Nothobranchius furzeri: one gene and its partner. The protein of the gene in region 1 purifies or fractionates together with the protein of each later gene. This does not show direct contact. Links are inferred from orthologs where the notes say so. Each region holds a gene or a part of one and is shown in the gene's direction. Other genes may lie near its edges. The genes, in order: nfx1 and larp1.

Region 1 (12,125 bases):
CAAACTAAAAATAATAATAAGAATCGTACAAGAATCAGAAATTGGTATCGACACTCAAGTCAAGAATAGATGCATCCCTATTAAAACTAGCTCAAACGTCCCTTTTAAATGCAGATATTTAGATTGTAGCAGCATAAATGGATGTCACGTTTAACGCTCCTGCTTTACAGAACAGATTACACTAAAAGCTGTGATCCTGATGTAATTCATGCCTGATTCAAAGTGTGAAATAAGTTCACATTTTGGATTCAGCAGTGAACGAAGGTGTGCTCCCTCCTGGTTTGATGCTCCATTTAATCATGGCAGGAGGGATGCCATCATCAGCAGGAGCCGGGACACACTCACACAAACACAAACCCACCTCTCTGACCCGATTACATCTCATCCTGTGTGATTTTTAAACGTTTCTTTAATCTGTTTCACCTGACAAATGACTCTGAAGCAGTTGAAGCCACATCTGACAGCAGCCAGTGACTAAAATAGGTCTTTCTGTCACACAAACACAGCTGCAACCCTGCCAGAATACTTGAAAGTTATGTAATAGTGAACACAGAGAGCTGCAGGCCTAAGTGCACATCCTTCTATTCCCTGCACTCTTCCAACAAAGCTATCCTCCTCCTCCATTATTACTCCATATCTAAAAAGATTTCTTCGGATGAGGGCCTCTCAATCAGTCTCAATGAATGTGAATAATTTTGCATCATAAGAAAATGCACAGTTGCAGCAACAGGTGCAGTTTTTGTGCAACAAAAAACTCAATTTAGATCCTTGAGTGGATGATAAAATGACCATCAGGTCGTTTTAACAGACTGTCATTGCAACCTGGTGTGTTTCATTGGATATTACTAAAAAAGCAATGCTGTTCATAAAGGGGAATGTGAGTTTTTGCTGTTAAATAACCTTTCAATGGCCTTACCTCCTCCAGCACGTTCACTGTATTCCTGCAGCTCTGCATGCGGGTGGTGAAGCTGGATGTTGTCGGGGAATTGTAATCCTCTGTCGTCTCCGAGAGAAACTCGGACACCGATATTTGATCCGGCATCCTTTACTGGGAAAGGGGGGAAATGCCCACAGGAAGGCTCGGCGATGTAGGCTCAGAAAGACAAAACCATGCAAGAGTCACAAAACAAGCCAGAAAGCTGCAGGGGGGATCTGACGGTCGCGGCTCGAAGGAAAGCACCGATTTTTCCTCGCAGAGCTGAACTGTGTAAAACTATCAGGGATGATTAAGACGTGTCTCCTTCTGCCGAGGCTTCTCAAATGACTTCACTGTTCTCCGTGGATGACTTTGTGTTAAATGTCTAAACTAAGGGTGCGTTCACCCTCGGCGAGCGGCTTCCTTGAGAGGAGGTCTAAGACCGACACATTTATATTTAGTGTCACCCCGCGTCTAACTAAACCTCGGAGGAAAAACCGCCGTGAAGAATAGCGGATGCCTTCATTATGATCTACAGATGTGCAACAACCCGCTCGACGTTGAGAAACAGCGCACCGTTACCGGCCCGAGGGTGGGTTTTATCATAGTCCAGGGTGTGCCGTGGTCGTCTGGAACTGCTCCGTGGTTTGGTCCTCTCTTCTTTAGCCGTAGTTTGTGTTTTAGCTAAATGGTGCCGCAGACACATTCACTGACGATCTCTTCTGCTCGGCCGCGTTCGGAGCTGTGCAGGGGCTAAGAGTTAAGCTAGCAGTACGAGGAAGCACTACTTCCGGTTTAGATTTTCAAAATATGTTCAATACGTAAAAATTGAACTACTGCTCATTCAATTCAGACACTATAGCTTTATAAAAACATTTACATTTACGAATGGTTGAAGCCATATAAATAAACTTGAATTGAATTGAAATGACAAAAATATCTGACTCCATTGTACAGGAAAACACATTATCACTAGTCACGTTTAAAAATCAAATGCTCAGTTATGAATAAATACGTGAATATATAATATATCAGGAACACAACTGTCACCAAGTTTTCACATGAATTACTTCGTTTTGAAAAGCAAATCATTTAGTTTCCGGTATTTGGTATCGCTTTACTCATTTCTTACCCACCCACCTCGCATCGTTCACGGGGTCTGCGCATGCGCCATGGATCTTCTGAGGGCTGAGTGATGCGTAGCTGTAGGGCTGTTATAGAAAACGATGTGCGAAAAATAAACACGTAACTTCTGACACTGTTACTTTTAGCGGTCTGTTAGGGATCGATGGCACTTAAGGGATTTATCCGATGATCAGAAACCCATCTAATTAATGGCAGCTAGCTGTAGCTGCCTGTAGGAGCGTGGAGCGTCATTTTCTCCTGCGTTAATGACTAAAATCTGCTTTACCACAACATATGTTAGTGTTTTTGCCTATAATTTGTAAAACGGTGTCTTATCAAAATAAATTAAGCACCAGCTTTGTCTTCGTGTGGTATTTAGCTAAATAACCCACTTATTTAGGTCAAATATGTGGTTTTCATAATGAATATCAAAGTCTTTAATTATATTTTGGGGTCTCTAAATTAAAAGTTTATATATTCTTTCCCGGCTCTCATGTAAAGCCGAATCCATTTGTTCATTTAGGTTTATTCTAGATTTTTATTAACTCATTAAAACAGTTGCTATGAAAGATATATCTCACCATCACCCACTTTCACTTTTCTTTCAAACTACAAGATTGCATCCAAAAGTAAATGTGATTTATAGACCAAAATAAAATAATATATTGTGGTTTTCTGTATGCCTCAAAAGTCTCAATGATCATGGAGTGTGACAATCAATTTTAACGCGTAATCAATCATTGTATTGTACATATAACCTTTTGATTAATTGCTAGTGTCTGATATCAGAAATAATAATGACATTTACCCTGCTGATTTTTCCACACACCTTCAAATAAAAAGTCTCATTCTGTATATCTAAAATTTCAACTAACAAGAATTTCTGTTAAACATGTTTATTGTTTTTCTAATTTTTATGTCCAGAAGGGACATCTGTCATATCTGAATATTTGGGGTAAATTAAAAGAATAGTAATAAAATGTCAATTGAGGATGCTTTCTTTGAGAAACCAATATATGGCAAATTGGCTTGCCATAAAGCACTGTTACGCTGATGGACAAACTCAAACATGAAGCGCCATCCTGTGGGCAGACTTATTCTTTTTCCTCCCTTAAATTAAGGATTTTATTCACAGGAAAAAAATCCAGCAAAAAATAAAAAAAATACGTAATGGGAAAAAAAATATTTTTTTTTTCTATGACCATTTAATTTGAGCAACATATTCAACAATTTTACTATGTTAATTGTGTTACTTTAGGCTCAGTATTCAATAAGCATGACCTTTGACACCTCTTTGACATTTCTTTCTTTCTTTTTCACATTTTTACTGGAGAAAACCACTGAGAAAAAATATAACTTGGTCTTAAATGAAAGGTGAATGGTGAGCATCACTGGATTGTAAAGCATGTTCAAATGTAATTGATCAAAAACAATCAGCAAAAAAAAGGTTTGATGATGCCATAACGGCTCTTTTAGGTTCACAGAATATGCAGCTAACATCAGTCATTTTAAATCTAAAAATCTCAAAAAATCTTTAGTGTACATACGTACATTTTATTACTATGTGGTTTTTAATGGAAACACAAATCAAATGGAAGCTAATACAGTGACTGCACGGGTCTCTTAGAGTCCCTGGCAAAAATTTCCAAGGGGGACTTGGAATTAGGTTTCATCAAATACAACACTGACTAAACTTTTTTGTTATGCAAGTGCATAAAAGCCTTTTTTTATGTAAATATTTACTATGTGCATTTTAACATTATAACTGTGAAGGCTGCTGAAGAAAATAAAGGAACTAATTATTTTACATTAGGCAATCTTTATTTCAAACTTGAACTGGTCCTTACAAATGACTTTCCTGTTATCAAACTACGTCTTTGAGCAACTATAAATGGTTTTTCAGGTTTTGTTTATGTATAAATATTGCTTGTAAAAGTAAATCATTTTGTGTGCAGGTTGTTTGATTTACGCTTGATTTAAGCAGTTTAATATTTTACGTCCTTTCATTTTGCTAGTAATTTTATTTTGAAAATCCTAAGCGGAAGTTCCGGTCGGGAATCGGTGCTAGCCTTTCAGCCGGAGAGTTTAGCCAACGCAGGTGGGAATAATATTGTTTTAACGTGGATTATTCCTAGTTTGAACCATCAAGGCGCAGGTGAGGAGGTGGACACTGTCTCCGATCGCCTGGTTGAACTTGTCATCGCTCCAAAAAACAACCTGCCGTTGGTGAACTTTGGAAAAGTGGAGTTCTAAGTGAATGGCTGAAGGCTCCTCTGGTAACCAACGTACTTTTTAAATAATTATATGATAAATGAATTGGCATTTATAATAGCTACCTTGTGAGTTTATTTTTAAAAATACTTGATAAATCATGTTAGCTTGATTGTAACATAGTCTCGCGCTAGTTGTGTTAGCGTGTTTCGTTAGCGAGAACTTTTGAAGTAAAGATAAATGTTTTAAAAATGCTTGTCGAGGTGACTCTTGAATTGTTCTTTATCAGACACGACAACACGTGACTGAGAACTTTGAAACCGATAACACAGCTGATCTGGTTACTGTAACAGGAGCTGAAACATGTGACTTGCTAGCTCCAGAGCTAACCGCTATTTCCAAAGTTAGGATTAAATCCACATTAACTTTAGTGTAAATGACATTTATTCCGATTCTAAACTTCTCCAGATACTAATGACTTCATTTAATAACATCTTGTTCTGTTTTTTTCCTTGTCATTGGTTTGGATTTTCTGAATTGAATTTGGAGCATGGATATTAGTTGTGTATCTACGAAACTAACAAATTAAATCGTTCTCGTGTATTTTTCAGTTAAATAAGTTGCCAGATTTTTGTTTAATTTAAAAAATGATTTAGTTGAGTGGCTTTAGAGTAAGTACAACTTTATTAATATAGCACTTTTCACAGATAAAATCACAAAGTGCTTCACATCAACAGGTTGAGCGGGTTGTCCAGTAATCGGAAGGTTGCCGGTTCAATCCCGGCTCCGGGATTGCTGTTGTGTCCTTGGGCAAGACACTTAACCCACCTTGCCTGCTGGTGGTGGTCAGAGGGACCGGTGGCGCCTGTGCTCGTCAGCCTCGCCTCTGTCAGTGCGCCCCAGGGCAGCTGTGGCTACATGTAGCTCATCCCCACCAGTGTGTGAATGTGTGTGTGAATGGATGAATGATACACTGTAGTGTAAAGCGCTTTGGAGTCCTTACTCTGAGCAGCGCTATACAAGTGCGGGTCATTTATCATTTAACATACATAAGAAGGCAAAACAGGACAGGAGCACAATGTCAACTTACATAAAAGCTTGTCAAATAAAAGTGTCTTCAGCTGCTTTTTGAAAGAATCAACAGAGTCGGCCACACGAAGAAACAAGGGCAAGGCAGGCGTTCCAAAGTCTGGGAGCTACAGCTTGAAAGGACAGGTCCCCTCTAGTTTTAAATCTGGTCTTAGGGACCTTCAGTAGGTTTTGACCCAAGGACCGTAGAGTGCGGCCAGAAGAGTGAGGGATTAAAAGGTCTGATAAATATTGTGGAGCTCGTCCATTAAGAGCTCTAGAAGTCAAAACTAAAATCTTAAAATCAATTCTAAACTTGACCGGTAGCCAATGTCAAGAAGATAAAACCGGTGTTATGTGAGCCCTTCTATTGGTTCCTGTTAAAAGCCTTGCTGCAGCGTTCTGGACCAAGACGACTGACATCTGATTTCTTAAAACAAGTAAAGATAGAATAATTGCAATAATCTAAACAAGAGGAAATAAAAGCATGGACAATCAGCTTTAGAGTTCTGTGGAATTTAGACCTTTATTTTGTAATTATTCAGGCATTGTAAAGGCTCCAAAATGCAGAGTGAACCAGTACCTTTGATTGACAACTTGTCAAAAACGCTTTAAGAATAGATCCTAACCTGTCCACAAATACTACAGTTTGTTTCCACCACGTCCTTTATTGAATCTGTTTACTCATTTATTCAGTACATTTGCATTGTTTTCTAGTGTTAAGCAATGCCTTATGAGTCATAAAAAGTTATAATGTTCCAGTTCTGGGATGCAGAAGTTTGCTGTTGCAGAGGTGGGCTGAAAACAGCAGGATTACTCATTATTGTAAATGATATGCACACCTCCTCGATAGCAGAATGCGTGCAGTCACTAGCATAAAGAGATGCTCTCCGCTCTCTCTGAGAAAAAAAAGCCTCCCTGTGGGCGGGTGTGAGCCAAGATGGTCAAAGCCATAAATGCAAATTCACAGTGTGACATAGATCTGTGAGGATTTTCAAATCCTAGCCTTTCAGTCTTTTTTTTTTATTATCAGAAGCTAACACAGGACACTGTTTTCATGTTCAGCCTGCATGAAAAACTCAGAGTGGCCGATTATAATCAGAAATTATCATTAAAAATTGTTTATTTTTTTTAGTGTTTTACTTCTTTAATCTTCCATCTTTACTTTCCTCACTTTCAAAGCACACCGGTACAGTCATGTTCAAGGACTGGATGTCACAAAAGCCACTGAGATTCAGATAAAAACTGTAAAAGATGTGAAAAATCCCAGAGAAGTGCTGATTTAGATTTTGTTTAAAAGATTGCATGTGCTGAAAATCTCAGCTTTGATAAAAGCCGCTGTTATTTAAAATTTCTTTCATTGTTCTTTTAAGTCCAGTAACTGTTAAAAGTGATAGGTTTAAGTGCTGTAACTTTACTGTGATTGGTTGTTTTTACTGGTCAGTAGTGTACGGTTGTACTGTTTCTGTTACAGATCCACCTGACCTCAGCTCTGATGGGCCGTCACACCAGCACAGACCTAGAAGAGGCCGACCCAGACACAACGGCGATCGAAACCTGAGCAGTAATAGCCATGATCCGTCTTACCAATATGGGCATTTTCAGCAGTGCGTTAAACCACCGATTGGTTCTAATCATTTTAATTATTCAGAGTATAACCATCCTCCGTATCAAGGAGAGGATGTTGCTAGGAAGAGAGGCAGAGGAAGAGGAAGGAGAGAAGGAAACAGAGGGTTAAACAGGAATTTGGCAGGTTCAGGCCCTCGGGGGCAAAAACACATTGGTGACTTTGGCCAGTATGATGCAAGTCATAGATACACAGGTGGCTACCAGTCAGATCCCATGGATGGGCCTGATGCTCCCAACTGGAGAAGAGGTGGTGCAAATAGAGATTTTGAGCAAACTAACAAGGAGCGGGATGCTCCAGCTCAAAATTCCAGTAAAAGGGAGCTTAAGAGGGGCGAACGGATGGAGGAAAGGGATCATACAAGGGAGAACAACACAACCGTACCAGGCTACAGGTTTCAAAGTATCCGAGGAGAAAACTATTTTTCTGAGACCAACAGGAGAACTCCACAGAGCAAATCAGGCACTCAGACTCAACATTACGACCATCAGAAGAAACACGACGACCCAAAGAGACGGCACGGACCAATCAAACCCCCTAAAGCACCGTCTCCAGAAGAGGTGAGTTTAGAGAGGGGTGCTGGTGGTCAGCATGACCCAGACTTCAGCAGATCTTCTCAGGATCCCGTCTGTAAGCCTGGAAGAGGCTCGGGACCTCAAAGACCTTATCAGAGCCACGGAGGGAGGAGAACTAACCGTCAGAACAGCAAGTCGGGTCAGAGCAGCTCAGAGAAGATGCCCAAGAGCAAAGAAACGCAGACAGGTTAGAGGTCATCTTCACTAATGGAGAAAGCAAAGAATAAATCACGTTTTCATCTCTTATTTTCTATTCTTTTAGATTTTTCAAAAATCCAATAAATCAGGAAGTTTTACTTTGTTCTAATGTGTAAAATACAAACCTTTCATTTCATTTATTCTGTCAAAAACCTAAACCTGTATCAAAGCATGCATTTCAGTCCAAGATAGCTTAGTTTCTTTAATCTGTTTCAGAACGAGTTGTTTGTTTTACAGCGATCTGTTCTCAACCTCTGGCCTCTCCTCCGCAGGATGTCTGATTGAACAGCTGTCGGAGGAGAAGTACGAGTGCATGGTGTGCTGCGACGTGATTCGGGTTATGGCCCCGGTGTGGAGCTGCCACAGCTGCTTCCACGTCTTCCATCTGAACTGCATCAAGAAATGGGCTCGATCCCCAGCCTCTCAGGCAGACGGTACGGCTGTTGGACCCTGTGTGGACGTTTTATTTTCTACTTGTTGGTCAGACTTATGATTAATCTACATTCGAAGTTAAAATGAATCCGTTTTTCAGACTCGGCTGAAGGTTGGCGTTGTCCCGCCTGTCAGAACGTTACTCTGAAACACCCGACCACCTACACCTGCTTCTGTGGTGAGTGTTTGATTTCTTCACCCACAAGCACATCTCACATTTCCCTTCAACACATCATCTTGTAGTTGGGTCACGGGCCTAAATTGTCACATCTTCCTTTGTCCTTCTTTTCATCCAATTCTGGACTGGCAGGTAAAGTGACGAACCCTGAGTGGCAGCGCAGTGAGATTCCCCACAGCTGTGGTGACATGTGTGGGAAGAAGAGGAGCGGTGTGGACTGCAACCACCCCTGTAACATGTGAGCTGTGAAAAAAAACAAGATTTGTGAGCTGATACGATTCATCTCGCAGAACTGTAGTTGAAAAGGACATCTTTAGCATTTTTTTGTGCAGCCATGTGGGTCTCCACTGCCTCTATAAACCCTTCATTTATTAAAAAAATGCCCATCCGTTTTCTGGCAGCGTTGGGTTTAGGAATTATGGGACTAAAACAAGCCGTTTAGAAAAATCCTTGTTTGTGACATCACAAATGGGTGTTTTTATTTATTTGTTTTTTTAAGAATAGAATCACCTTTCATACATAAGAGCTGCTGCTGGAGGAGCAGCAGCAGCTCTACTCTGAGCTCCTCCCAGATATTGGAGCTTCTCAGCTTATAGCAGCCTGAGCAGGGGAGGGGTGGGCGTGGCCAGCTCCAGTTTGTTCTCTTAAAGTGACAATACCCTGAAACAACTCATTCTGGAAGGTACTGAAAAAGAGTTTCAGATCTGCAGGTGCACACCTGGGTGGTGAAATGGATACGTGTCTCATTTGGATAGTTTTTTTGTTGTTGTTGTTGTTGTTTGGCTCAATGTTTAGTTAGGAAACATTCTAATGTGAGACCAGAATAATCATTAGATTTCTGATTTCATGGAGACTTTTCTGTCTCTCTAGTTTGTGTCATCCTGGTCCTTGTCCTCAGTGTCCCGCATTCATCACCAAGTCCTGCGTCTGTGGGAAGACAAGGTAATCTTCCGTCCTGTTTTTATCTTTAACAATGGTCTTGTTTATTTGACACATTAGGTAACGATTGGATCATTATTTTCAGTCAGCCGATGCGCTGCGGCCAGGCTTCGGCGCTCCAGTGTGACAAAGTGTGTGGAGCTTTACTCAACTGTGGTGAACACACCTGTGTGCAGGTGTGCCACAGCGGGACGTGTCAGCCCTGTCAGCTGAAGGTCCAGCAGGGTTTGTCTCACTGGCTCAAAGATGTTGTTTCATGAAAGTAAACCATTTAGATTTCTGATCTGTTGATTTTCCGTGTGTGTAGTTTGTTACTGTGGCGTTACTCTTCGCACCGCCGCCTGCGGCACAGATAAGGAAGGATTTGGCGGTTCTGGACATTTCTCCTGTCAAAAGTTTTGCTCCAAGTGAGTGACGACGCAACAGAACAGACTTTTGTTGAAACGGGACGATTCCTTTCATACTTTCCTTTCGTCTGTTCAGGATGCTGAGCTGTGAAGCTCACCGGTGCCAGCAGGTGTGTCACCGTGGGCCGTGCCAGCCATGTCCACGCTCACCCAGCCTGGTGAAGACGTGTCCCTGTGGTCAGACCCCGCTGTCCAAACTCCTGGATCTGGGCTACTCTGAGCGGAACAGCTGTTCCGACCCCATCCCCTCTTGTGGGAAGACGTGTAACAAGCCCTTACCCTGTGGCTCCAATGGTGAGGAGAACTGTCATCTGAAGCTTTTCAGCAGGATCTAATAAGGAAAGCCAAAGTTTGTCCATGCTGGACACTTTCTTAGTGCACAAAACACTTGAAATCATAAAGAAATGCTGATTAATCCACCGTTTTGATCCCTTTATTTTAATCAAATGGCTTTCCCTCATCTAGTTTTGGAGCTGTTCTCTCTGCAGGAATGCACCGATTCTTTGTGATATCTACATTGGTGGTTGTGTTTAAACAGACATCTGTTATCCTGACCCTGTCACTTCATCTATTCTACATTTTTAGTCAACAAGGACTAAAAAACATGGGATCTATTTTTAAAACTGTCTTCCGGGTGGTCCATTGTGTTTGAGTAAACAGGAAGTGCGTTATCTGGAACCCACTGTGTTTTTAAAGCTTATCCACTGATAATTATCTCCTGCTTCTTCAGAAACCATCCATTTGTGTCAGAACCTGTGCCACGAGGGCGCCTGTGGGCCGTGCTCTCTGACCTCAACGATCAGGTGTCGCTGTGGCTCCAAAACAAAGGTGTGCAATAGTATAAGCAAAAAAATGCTTATTTCTTTTTTACTAAAAATTTCTGAAATGATTTGATTTTCAGGAGGCTCCATGTGAGAAGATCCAGAAAGAAGGTTAAGTTCTGACGAGTTTTAAATTAAACTCATCAGAATGGACCGAATTTCTGTTTGACCTGTGATGTTTCCTTGTAGAAGAGCTCGTGTTCACGTGTGAGCGACGCTGCAACAAGAAGCGCTCCTGTGGTCGACACAAGTGCGGTGAACTTTGTTGTGTGGTGAGCAATCACTAAGTCACAGATGATTTTCCTTCTTCCAGTAAGAAATGCTTTTAACTGCAGTTTTAACATCATGAGGTTCTCGTTTCAACCTGAAAATGGGTCAAAAAAAGGTTTAAAGTTAGTGAATTTGTTTGGCATCATCTAACGGCGATGTTACCTTTTGGGGATTCTACGTTAATCCAGAGCGTGGAGCACAAGTGTTCCCTAATCTGTGGCTACAAGCTGAACTGTGGCCTGCACCGTTGCCAGGAGCCGTGTCACCGTGGAAACTGTGAACCCTGCTGGCAGTCCAGTGAGTAAGAGATGCCTCTGGTTTTATGTTTTTACAGCATCTTTAGTTTGTGTTCTTGCCTTTGGCACTGATGCTGTCACGGCTCCCCCTGCTGGCAGGTTTTGATGAGCTGACGTGTCACTGTGGTCTCATGGTGCTGTACCCACCCGTCGCCTGTGGCACTAAGCCGCCTGAGTGTAAAAACTTGTGCACAAGACGGCACGAATGTGACCATCCAGGTAGGAAGGAAGGGATGTTAACTGTTCAGACTGCAGCTTCTCACAAGCATCTTACTTTTTGTTTCTGCCTTCTTCTTCTGATTTAGTGTTTCACAACTGCCACAGCGAGGAGAAATGTCCCCCGTGCACTTACCTCACCCAGAAATGGTGCATGGGAAAGCATGAGGTAATGCCTTCAAAAACCTCTTGTTCCAGGGTTTCTTCATGAATAATGAGCGTGGTTTACTTCTTTGACCTGCAGCAACGCAGCAACATTCCATGCCATCTGCAAGACATTTCCTGTGGCCTGACGTGTAACAAGCAGCTGCCCTGTGAAATGCACCGCTGCAAACGCCTCTGCCACCGGGGGGAGTGCCTACCCCAGGGAGGCTGCCAGCAGCCCTGCATGCTGCCTCGTCCAGACTGCAGCCACCCGTGTTTAGCTCCCTGTCATAAAGGCAGCGCCTGCCCATGCTCCACCTGCACGGCAAAGGTACACACACATAGCTGCACTCCAAACAAAAGGTTTTGCAGAAATCCTAGCATGTTTTTCCACCCCATTGTATCTCCTCTTCATATCCAGCATGAGTAATGTTCTCAGTCCATCGCCTCCTAGCTGTGTGTTCCTTAGAGCTGCACAGAGGCTGCCATATATCCCTCCATGACTTTAATAAATGTTTAACTTGGATCAAGTAAGCCTGGCAACCCTCCAAACTCAAGACTTTCACAATAAAACGTCTGAATGGTGTTTTTCTATGCAGGTTGCTCTGCAGTGTGACTGCGGTCGGAGAAAGGAAACGGTTGGCTGCATAGAAGCTGCTAGTTCCTATCAGAGGTCAGATTTTCCTAACTGTGAGTTTAAAG
Region 2 (11,387 bases), on another chromosome or scaffold:
AACTCTAATTTTATACTTTAGTTCAGTTTTATTTATTAAGAATAAAAACCTTTCTGTAGATCAGAGACTAACAAAAGCCTTAATGATAAAATCAGTCTGACTTTGTTAAAACTCACTTCCTCCATCACACACTTTCACAGTAAAGGCTTCTGTTAAAAAAGGCCTTTTGTTGAGTTAACAGAAAAATGGTGTTTTAATGTATTCTCATCATTTCATGGCGTTTCAGTTGAACTGCAACCAGTGCAGAAAGTTACTAAACCATGAAGGTAGTTTTCAGATTGAAACCATTCACAAACACGAGAATAAAAGTAGTTTAGTTCTATAAATGTTTCATTAGATTACAGCAGAAAAGACAAACCTGTAAAAATGTTTCATTCTGTCACACTTGTGTTTGTCTTAAAACAGGAAACAAGCAGAAGTGGGTTCCTCTGATGATCGAGGTGAATTCTGAGGGCCCCAGAGAGCGCTCGGCCTCCAGGAACAACAGCAGACAGAACGAACACCCCCGCCTGCCCCCCAACGCCAGGAACGACCTCAGAGGTCAGTCCGGGTCATCCCCTAACACCGCTAGTTGCTGTCGGGCAGCGTCTTTGGTCTGCTGTGATGATTAAGTGAAGGGTGTGGTTTGATAAACAGCTGAGCAGCATCATGGCTGATGCTCTACTTCCTTTTTTATTAATGCAAATCTGTCCTTTATAGACTGGCACAGCCAGAAGTACGAGCGGGAGTGGCGAGACGACCACGACGAAGTGTCCAGCGTAAAGAGCGAGGGGGCACCTTTCCGTGGAGGGTTCAGAGGTCGTGGACGCGGGAGAGGAAGGGGACGAGGTCGAGGACGAGGCGGAGGACATGGTAGAATTAAAACTTTCTCTTCTGCCGAGACGGAAACCCGAGCTTTATTTCCCTTCTTCCTTTAAAGTGGAACATTTCTCTCTGATGCATCATTCTGTTTTTGTCCAGAGGATTTGAAACGTTATTTTTCTGAGGGGTGCGGCCAGTTTTCAGATTTTAGTTCAGTTCTGGACCAAATTGCAGTTAAACTCTGGATGTTGTGATTCCTGCTGCTGCTGTTCTGGTTTTGGCTGGTTTGTGGCCCTGATCCGGCTCCACTGAGGCTGCAGGGAAAACAGGAAAAACAGTGTAATAACATCCAGAGAGTGTTGGAATGAGGAAAAGGCCTTGGAGCCGACAGGACAAGCAGCTTTTCCCTGAAGTCTGGTTTGTTTTGGCTTCAGCTTCCTCGGATTCACACTTTCCCTCTCTTCCCATCACTCCTTGTTCATTCACGTTTTCTTCTCTGCTTCCTGTTACCCAGCTCGGTATGAGTGTGTTTTTAACTTTAAACAAGATAAGGGGGGAGTCCAGACAACTCAACACAGTTTTTAATTCTAGATTTTTGATTTTTGTTTTTTGTTTTCTTCAACCATTGCTGGTCCAGATTTCAGGCTGAGCAGGTTTTTAGAGTTAATGCTCAGATTTCCTGCTCAGTTCGGCACAATCCTTAATATATCTTTACACATTTTAATGTTTTTACTAGGGAAGCCCTCATGTGGCAACTTGCTCTTTGCTTTATTAAATCTCACATTCATCCGGATTTCAAAAGTACAGTTTTTCCCCTTTTTAGTATTGCTGTTTTATTACGATCGCTGGAATTTTCACATCAATTATGTGACTCACTTTTACTTTCAGCTTCACATCTGCCTTTCTTCTTTTACATTCCTGCTTCGTCTGTCTCTACAAGCGGAGTTTGCGCCATCCCTTCTACACCCACCGTGTCCTGAACACGATGAAATGAGCTTTGGATCATGTGTGTGAAGCGTGTTTACGCGTGGCAGTCTTCAAACTCAATAAACTCAAAAAATGTCAATAGAAACACCCAGAATTGTTGGTCAGATTGAAGTTGCACATCTCCACTGTCTTCTGGTGTAAATAACTTCATGAGGGATAATACACCACATTTTTCCTCCTGAACCTGAGGTTTGACAACCCGACAGACCCTCCTCTCCAGAAGTCCTGAATAGACCTTACCAGGGAGGCTCAGGAGTGTGATCTCCCTGTGGGTGGAACACATCCTGTGGTCCCCCTTTTTAAGTCAGGGAACCACCACCCTGGTCTGCCAGTCCAGTGGGACTGCCGCCGTTGTCCACGCGATGTTACAGAGCTGCGTTAACCAACACAGCCTTGCAACATCCAGAGCCTTAAGGAACTCGAGGCAGATCTTCTCCACCCCTGGGGCCTTGCCACAGAGGAGCCTTTTCACCACCTCAGAGACCTCAGCATCAGAGATTAGAGAATCCAACCCAAAGTCTCCAGAGTCTGCTTCTTCCACTGGAAGATATGCCAGTGGGATTAAGGAGGTCTTCCAAGTGCTCCGCCCACCACAGCGTCTCTAGTCGAGGTCAGCAGCATACCATCCCTACTATAAAAAGTGTTGGTAGCACACTGCTTCACCCCTTTAGATGCCGGATAGTGGACCAGAATCTCCTCAAAGCCGTATGAAAGTCTTTCTCTGTAATCTCACCAAACTCCTCCCATGCTTATGCTTGTTTTTTGGAGTTTTTGCTTCCGCGACCACCCGAGCTGCATTCCATCAGTTCACACTTCAGTTGGAAGAGGCTCCTTCTGACTGGAGACTGCCAGACGTCAGGGGGGCCATTCCTCCCAACCACACCTCTCCAGGTCTCGCCGTGGCTGCCCACGTGAGCAGAGCAGAATAACAGAATAAATTAGACAAAGTGCTGTTGAGTTTGATGCTGCACAGAAGAAACTATTTTAACATTTATCTTTCGCCAGTGAGTATAAAAGCTTTACTTCTTAAGCAATCAGGCTCTTTCGATTCTATAACTTCTGAAATGTTGCTGTAAATAATGAGTTCTTCCATGATAAAATTTAAAGAAAGGACGCTGTTTAACAGGATTTTGAAGCTGCAGAAGTGGATTTGATCTTGGCGCTCTGTCCGTTTCCTCTGAAGGTCATTACGACTACCACTTCGGCTACAAGTCCTACGACGTGAAGGACGGACCGTACAGCCAGAAGTTCAACAGCTCCGTCACCTACTACTATGACAACATGAGCAGCAGCGATCTGTACACCGTGGACCAGGACCTGCTGAAGGACTACATCAAGAGGCAGATGTGAGTTTGTAACTTCAGAGGTGATGAGCTTTCATGTCTCATCTCTGATGGGTAGTCAATGCAGAGAGATCATAGTTGATAAACTCCTGCTCCACTTTGACCAAATATGCACACGATATAATCTGTGGGTACGATTTTATTTTGATGGTGCCCCAAAATTCTATTTAAATAAAAAATACATTAAAGCATTCAAACCAGCTGTGGCAGATCCCCTTAAAGAGCAAGTCACCCCAGATCAGTTTTTTGCTGTTCAACGATATAAATGAGTGTCTAATCGTGCTGTAAACATGGGTAGTCAATAATTTGGCACTTTAATGCATCTTAGTTAAAATGAAAATATTCTACCTAAAACTGTCAGTGTTGCGCCCTCTTCAGGTAAAATACTCCGCACTACATTTTAATTTAAATCGGCCATTGCTATTGGCTAAGAGGTACCCTATGATGTTTCCTGGTACCATATGAGGGCACAGTGCCACTGAGCCTGTGTGTGTTTATTTGTTAGCAGCTCTGCCATCTGGATCTGCCCGGAAACAACTCCCTGTGGCGCATTTTTCAAACAGGAAATGGGAGTGGCTGCTAGGGGGTGACTTGCTCTTTAAGTAAAACTAGTCTTATCTGGAGCTGAAACCTGATCTTGTCCTGGTTTCTAATGTGATAAATTCTAAATTCATCCACAAATTCCTCGTTTTGTTTCATTGTGCATCAAATTCCCTCTGAATACCCCGCTTCTCACCCCTGTAGAGAGTATTATTTCAGTCTGGACAATCTGGAGCGGGACTTTTTCCTGCGGAGGAAGATGGATCAGGAGGGCTTCCTGCCCATCGGACTCATCGCCAGTTTCCACAGAGTTCAGGCGCTCACTACAGACGTCAACCTCATCATCGAGGTTAGCGGAGCTGGAGTTTGTTTTTATAGAACAGTAAAAAGAAACGCGTTTGGAAGCTGAACATTGATTATCTGCTGCCAGGCTTTAAAGGGCAGCAAAGAGGTGGAAATCATCGACATGAAGATCCGGCGGAAGGAAGACCCAGAGAAGTGGCCTCTTCCTGGTCTGATGATGCCCAACCACACGCACACCGACTTCTCCCAGCTCATCAACTGCCCCGAGTTTGTTCCCAGACAGATGTCTGAAGAGCGCAGAGGTGAGGAAGGTTCGTTGGGATTTCATGTTTCTAAAACATCAAACCAACCTGGGGTTTCGTCTCTTCTCCAGGGTCTCCCAGAGCCTCCACGCCAGTTCAACAACTGACCAAGACTGAACCAGATATCTCCAACCTCAAGACCATGCCCAAGGGCCTCTCCGCCAGTCTCCCTGATCTGGACTCCGAGTCCTGGATCGAGGTGAAGAAGAGGCCCAGACCCTCTCCAGCCAGACCGAAGGTGAGCTCCGAAAACCTTTGAAAACTTAGCAGAAGATTATCTTGTTGTGTTTGGTTCACCTCCACCGTTATTGTGCGACTCACATCAGGTCCCTGTGTTGCAGCAGAAAGAAAAGGACGAATCTCTTCGGTCTCTGGTTCCTCGGCCCGGCTCCTCTCCATCCCCTGTCGTCTCAGGAAATAAGGTGAGTGAGGAAATCATTTTCCCCTCTTCTGATCCAACGGTTTGAGGCGTTTTGTTATTTTTGTTTACAGATGCATGTCTACTGATTGTACGATGATGTGGTGTTATGTTGTCTGATTAGGACGGAGCAGAGCAGGACGAACCCGAGGAGCTGGACTTCATGTTCGATGAGGAGATGGAGCAGATAGACGGACGCCGCAACACCTTCACCGACTGGTCGGACGAGGAGACGGACGGTGAGCTGGACGACAACGACATCAACAAGATCCTGATTGTGACGCAGACGCCGCCCTACCTGAGAAAACATCCGGGGGGCGACCGCACCGGTCAGCACACATCGCGCGCCAAGCTGACCAGCGAGCTGGCCAAAGTCATCAACGACGGGCTCTTCTACTACGAGCAGGACCTGTGGGAAGACAACTTCGAGCCCGAGTACGCCACCATCAAGGTGAGGTTGCACTCTTTGATGACATCACCAGAACAGCAGGTGCTGGGCATGCTCTGGCGGTTTCTGTCTCACGTTTTGGAGACATTTCTGCACGAAACTGGAGGACGAGGAGATGCATTCAGTGGCAGCTGGAGCTGTTTCTGGATGTGGAATGGAAACACAAAGTAGTTTTTGTTTAGTTTTGTTGTCCTCGCTGCCTTTTTGTTGCATTGTGGTACCTTCACGTGTTCACCGGCACTCATCCAGCGCTGCGCGGAACAAAGGCAGTTTGTTTATAAATAAACCCCACATGGAAGGTCTCGGCCTGGGGATCGGAGCCGCCGGGTCGAGGAGGAAGAAAATGGAAGAGACTCGGAGTTTACCCGTCGCTGTGAGTCACATCTGATCAGGATCAGGGAGAGAAACCACCTGGGAGCTGTCCTTACCCTGAGCTTTAGATAAAGGGCTGTGTGTGTCTGTGGGTTTCTGAGTAGAAGTAGAAGCTGTGTGCGTGTGTGTGTGTGTGTGTGTGTGTGTGTGTGTGTGGGAACAGTTCGTGTCAGATATGAAGGTGAAGAGGGTGTTTCTGGCTGCTGTGCTTTGCTGCTGCGTCTCGGTCTCCAGACTGCTGCAGATGAGGTCTGATCATTTCACAGTGTTCATGCGAAAGCTTTTCTGGTTTAAACCAGTTCTACGTTAGTTTCTGTTCTAGTTACCGACAATCCCAGCAGTTTGCTCTGATGAAAATCACAATAACTTTTCTCAAATTTCTTTTTACAGCAAGAGGTGGAGAACTTCAAGAAGGTCCACCTGATCAGCCGTGAGGAGTTCGACTGTCTGACACCAGAACCTCCCGTTGACCCCAACCAGGAGGTCCCCCCCGGGCCGCCGCGGCCCCAACAGAGTAAGGACACGCGTGTTTGTGTAAACCTAAAGCCGCTTTAATCCAGCTTCATCTACCTGATGGTGCAACATGGAAAAGATTAAACTTCAAATGTTGATATTAATAAAGACAACCCAACTACTGTTGGGCAAGAAGAAACGATTAGTCAGACTGTTTTAGAGTCGATGGTTTTCCTTTATGAAGGTGAGTAAAAACTTGGAATGTTTCTTTTCTGAGGTCAGATGGCTGAGTTGAGTCTATTATGATCTAGTGGATAAAAACGGGATTGTTTCATTTGTTTTCCGTCTCTAAACACGTTGAAATGTGAAACTCAGACGGTTGTAATAGAATGAGCCGGCGGTTTTAGAGATTTAACTCCTGACTTTTCCTTCTGCGTCGTCTTCAGTTCCTACAGACGCTCTAGCCAACAAACTCTTTGGAGCCCCCGAACCCTCGTCTACAGCCCGCTCGCTCCCCACCACAGTGCCCGAGTCACCCAACTACCGCAGTGCCCGGACGCCCCGCACGCCTCGCACCCCTCACCGAAAAGACCCAACCATGACGCCACGCTTCTACCCGGTGGTGAAGGAAAGTCGTCCGGTTGACGCCAAGGTGAGGGGAAGCGGTTTGGTAAAGCGAGAGGTCTTATAGACTGACAGGAACGATAAACGCTTGTTGGGTTTGTTTCAGACGCCCAGAAAGAGGAAGACCCGGCACAGCTCAAACCCGCCGCTGGAGTGTCATGTTGGCTGGGTGATGGACTCGAGAGAACATCGCTCCCGCACCGCCTCCGTCAGGTGGGACGTCCATGTGCTGATGCTGCCGCTGATGTTTTCCTCCCAGTCTCGGATCTAACTGAACTCTTGCTCCTTGTGCCTCCCTCCCAGCTCTAACGCCAGCCCGTCAGAGGGCACCCCCGCCCTTAGCAACATCGGCTGCACCCCCCAGTCCCTCCCCAAGTTCCAGCACCCGTCGCACGAGCTGCTCAAGGAAAACGGCTTCACGCAACACGTTTACCACAAGTACCGGCGGCGCTGCCTCAACGGTACGTCGCCTCCTCACGGTTTATTCTACAGGAGTAATCCTTCATTGTGAGTAACCCCATCTCTGCTCTCCACCAATCACAGAGCGGAAGCGGCTTGGAATCGGCCAATCGCAGGAGATGAACACGCTCTTCCGCTTCTGGTCGTTTTTCTTGCGGGATCACTTCAACAGGAAGATGTACGAGGAGTTCAGACAGCTGGTGGTGGAGGACGGGAAAGAAGGTTACAGGTGAGGTGACGGCTTTGAGAACTTGTGTTTCTAAATTCTGATTGAAATTGATTCCTCGTGTGTTTGTGGGCGACAGGTACGGTTTAGAGTGCTTGTTCAGGTACTACAGCTACGGTCTGGAGAAGAAGTTCAGACCAGACATCTTTAAGGACTTCCAGGAGGAAACCGTCAAAGACTACGAAGCCGGTGAGGAAACATGAAGCGGATCATTCTGACAGTTTAGGCCTCCTAAACGAGCGTTTGTTGGTGAAAGTATATAAAACTGTGTTTGTGTCTGCTGATCTCAGGTCAGCTTTATGGACTGGAGAAGTTCTGGGCTTTCCTCAAATACTCCAAAGCCAAGACTTTGGAGATCGACCCGAAACTCCAGGAGCACCTGAGCAAGTTTAAACGACTGGAGGATTTCAGAATAGATGTAAGAGTTTTTGTTTTAATCCAGATTAAAGGTGAAATAAATTCTGATACTGATAATTATTGTTGTTTCCAGCCACCGATGGAGGAAGGAGGCCGGAAAAGACACGCGTCCAGTGGGGACGGTCGCCGTCGCCATCCCTCCCAGTCCTCCAGCCGACCTCACAGCCAGGCGAGCGGAGGCTCCGCCCCTGCCTCTAAGGATGTTGCCAAACCCCCCTCCCAGAAAGCCCCCGCCCACAGCGCTGATCCCACACCGGACGCCAAAGCTCTGAAATAACTGCTGCACCGATGCGCTGGCCCATTTGGATCGACTGCACCACGTCTTCAAATCACCGGTTCTTTCTGCGCCACCGGAGGGGGAGGAGCCTCCAGCTCTGCATCTGATGAAAACAAAAGCCACCTTCTCAAGTTTTATTAGATCCTTTGGAGTAATTTAGAACCTTAATTAGACAAATAAATCGTGAGGGAATAAAAAAAACACATCTTGAGCGGTCCGAGACTTTTATTTCCTGCTAAGTCGACTCCCCCTCCCTCCCCCTCGCTCTCTGATCTCCTGCTGGCTGAAAGATTTGGATTCCTCCTCAGACGTCGTGTTTCAGAATTCTTTAGCAGGAGGTGGTTGAACCGGACTGATCTGGAAGCTGAGCTGCTCCCGACGTTCAGCCGGACCAAAGTGGTTTCAACTGGGCGACCGACCTCTCCAGACCCGGGGCTCAAACAGAGAAATATTTGATTTCCTTTATGGCTGGATACCGAGGGGGAACTATGAAAGAATAAGTGACTTGTTTCAACCCCTCACTTTGGACAGATTATTGAAAGTTGCCTTATTTTGATGGTTTTACTGCTTCCAACTTGTGCCCGCCACCGTTCTGTCGATTGAACAGCATCAAAATCACCATTTGTCTCATCGGTTTCCACCTGAGGCCACTGGGTGGCGTTTTGTCTGCCAAATTGTCCTCCGCTTCCTTTCATCTTTGTCTGTGAACTGTCTTCCACGTGTCCTTTGATCTGTTATTGTGACGACTTGTAGCTTTGTGTGCTGAAAGCTGATGGAAGTTCATCACCGTTCCTCTACGACCCTTCAAAATAAAATAAAAAAAGGAAGTGGGACTTGACGACGACTTCCTTTTGGGTGCTTCTCTTCCCACATCTGTCAGACATGTTGCATTCATCTGTTTATCCATCCATCCATCAGTCGAGCATCAACACCGCTGCAGGACTGAAATCCTCACTCTGGACTACTAGATGATTGTGAGGAGAACAGACGCTGGTATTGGACCTTGTTGCTTCCTGTTTCTCACATCGGTTACAGGTGTGAACACTAAGGAGTGCAGTCAGATACAGTTGCAGCAGCGGCTTCGTGTTTTTGTTTTCCTCTGATGGAAACCCTGATCCAGCTCGAGACCTGATGATATCCAACAGATTCCCTTTCCACTGGCGAAACTGTGAATTAGACTGATGAAGAGGAACGATCCCCTGCTTTGTTTTAGCCCTTACAGAACACACATCTTTGCCTATATGTGTGTTCTATTTTTAACTCTTATTGCTTTTTAACTTCCATTTGCTGTGTTTCTAGAGCCTAGAGTTTACTCTGGAGATGTGGCTCAAAAAAAACATCTGGATTTCAAAAATCAAAGCCGTGTGATCACACAAAAGGGAACGTCTTCACCTGGGTGAAGTCGGGATGACTCCTGTAGAATCTGACGACTATTTTGCACCGTTGTCAAACTGGGAGTCTGATTTCCAACAAAAACCTGGCTAACTAATTACTGAACCATCAGTTTTGTTTCATATGTTTCGTAGGTTTGAAAGAAAATCTTACTTTTATTTTCTTTTTTTTTTGAGATTTGAAAAGTCTTAGCTCACACAGAAATGAACCAGTTGTTTTGTTGCTTGTTTCTTTTAGCTGCAGTGACATCATTGAAACCTGGTATATTTAGACGAAACTGTGCCTGTTTTTGATTCTTCAAGTCTAGCTGTAGTGATGATTCAGCCTGTCGGTACCTACGGTGTACGTCACGTTTTCCTGTCAGTGTTTTTCCGTTTGTTCCCTTCAAATCCAGCGTTGTTGGATGTAAAATAAAAAGCTAATTGGAGCTGTTCCCCACATGCTTCAGCTTCACGTCACATCTTCAGGGAGGTTTGAATCTGTTAGACTTCCAGCTGCTGCAGTGTTTACCAGGCTGAAGCATATGAGCCACAACAAAAACACACTTTTTTCCCCAGAAGCCTTTGAGTGATTGGATGTGATGGACCGTTATTCCCCCCCCCCCCCCCCACCACCACCCTGTCACCTCCCTTTAATGTGATCATCACCTGTTTGTGAACAACTTATTGGGGGGTTTACAGCATCAAAGTGCTGCTAGCTGCCCTCACAAACTCTAGGGGGCGCTGCCTACTCGGATCATCAGTTTTACAGGAGCAGACTGAAGATGGGAAGATCAGAGAAAGACATGGAAAAGTGGGAAGGAAAAGAGTGACAGGTTCTGATGTCTGGAGACTGAGAATAATAGGACAGATTTCCATAAAGCCATATGATTAAGCAACAACTGTATGAACCATTAAAGTTCAGAACATGATCCTAGGCTTGTCATGAGGAAAAAAAAAAGATTAAATGGATAAAAGGAGCAAAAAAATATATAAAATGGGAAAAATGTAAAATACTTGAATGAGACCTTGTATTATAACATTTAATATTCATAATATCTGCTTTGTAGGCTGACGTGATTCGCTATTAGTGTCATTTGTAATTTGTAGTAATTATGCTTTTCCTTTAATAAAGAAAAAAAAACACAAAAACTGACAAAAAACCTTAAACACCAGATGCTGTGGAATCATTTCTCATGTGACTGAACACTAAAAACACACACACAAACACACACAGAAAAACTTTTATTTATTACAGACGGCTTCATAACCAATAGTTTAGTAAATTGTATAAAAGTTCACATTTAACATTAGAGAAGTTTAAGTGCCACAACAATAAAGTGCAACTCTTGGAGCTACATCGTGGTGCTTTTAAGTGTCGTTAGGAAATCCGTTTAGGAATGAATCCAGGTTTAACACTGAAATTCAAAATGGAAATAAAGTACCGGTAGATAAAATTAGTTTAAAAGTCATGGTAGTTCTAGAAATCCCATCATACATAAGAAAATGTCAGATTAATTACATTAGAAGTTCAGATGTTTAGTTTAAGTCTTTGGCAGCATTTGGAGGTTTGGTTTTGGTGCAGGAAGCTGGTAGTCGAAGTGATGGAAAGTCTTAAGAAGAGCATTTATTTGAAAAAAAAAAATAAAAATCCTAAATTTAACAGTTAAAAGTGAAAACTGAGGAAAAACTATTTTATTAAGTATATCTGTCCCAAAGACCCAATATTCCTCTTAGGCCCGGTTCACACACACAAGAAATTCATTATATATATAATTTTTTTTAAACAATATTAAGGATGCCCTGGATTACTGTGATGTCTTTAAAGATAATCTTCCTGCCGTGTGTGGTGTGTTAAGTGTGCTCTGGTTTGCTTAGCACATCGGGAGCACTCCAATTAAGTCAGGGTCATTAAACATGTTAGTATAGGGAGTTTTCTGGTCTGCTCATGGGTCTCTGGAAGAATGAAAAAATACTGGGCTAAAACGGTTATTTTCTGATTTTCTTGGCTTCACGCCCTGAATCGCACATATGATGTACGTCAATT

What was found.
Region 2: the proteins of nfx1 (region 1) and larp1 purify together in Homo sapiens (affinity purification with mass spectrometry, with the first as the bait; 3 studies listed by BioGRID). This does not show direct contact. The link is inferred for Nothobranchius furzeri from reciprocal best matches to the Homo sapiens genes NFX1 and LARP1.

The regions. Positions count from the first base shown.
Region 1 is NC_091747.1:45,562,153-45,574,277, reverse strand, and holds the start of nfx1 (transcriptional repressor NF-X1), read left to right. Parts: upstream 1-4,099; 5' UTR 4,100-4,298; coding exon 4,299-4,317; intron 4,318-6,794; coding exon 6,795-7,709; intron 7,710-7,992; coding exon 7,993-8,154; intron 8,155-8,252; coding exon 8,253-8,330; intron 8,331-8,462; coding exon 8,463-8,568; intron 8,569-9,200; coding exon 9,201-9,272; intron 9,273-9,354; coding exon 9,355-9,494; intron 9,495-9,576; coding exon 9,577-9,676; intron 9,677-9,752; coding exon 9,753-9,970; intron 9,971-10,406; coding exon 10,407-10,504; intron 10,505-10,577; coding exon 10,578-10,608; intron 10,609-10,686; coding exon 10,687-10,769; intron 10,770-10,955; coding exon 10,956-11,064; intron 11,065-11,162; coding exon 11,163-11,282; intron 11,283-11,368; coding exon 11,369-11,448; intron 11,449-11,523; coding exon 11,524-11,754; intron 11,755-12,022; coding exon 12,023-12,096; intron 12,097-12,125. Other genes in the region: asap1b (arf-GAP with SH3 domain, ANK repeat and PH domain-containing protein 1), read right to left, coding at 917-1,042. UniProt on the Homo sapiens protein: Binds to the X-box motif of MHC class II genes and represses their expression. May play an important role in regulating the duration of an inflammatory response by limiting the period in which MHC class II molecules are induced by interferon-gamma.
Region 2 is NC_091750.1:54,240,203-54,251,589, forward strand, and holds the end of larp1 (la-related protein 1), read left to right. Parts: intron 1-405; coding exon 406-540; intron 541-699; coding exon 700-852; intron 853-2,971; coding exon 2,972-3,134; intron 3,135-3,875; coding exon 3,876-4,020; intron 4,021-4,101; coding exon 4,102-4,276; intron 4,277-4,347; coding exon 4,348-4,514; intron 4,515-4,602; coding exon 4,603-4,698; intron 4,699-4,818; coding exon 4,819-5,145; intron 5,146-5,904; coding exon 5,905-6,028; intron 6,029-6,413; coding exon 6,414-6,619; intron 6,620-6,697; coding exon 6,698-6,804; intron 6,805-6,894; coding exon 6,895-7,052; intron 7,053-7,134; coding exon 7,135-7,279; intron 7,280-7,355; coding exon 7,356-7,465; intron 7,466-7,566; coding exon 7,567-7,694; intron 7,695-7,766; coding exon 7,767-7,970; 3' UTR 7,971-8,200; downstream 8,201-11,387. UniProt on the Homo sapiens protein: RNA-binding protein that regulates the translation of specific target mRNA species downstream of the mTORC1 complex, in function of growth signals and nutrient availability.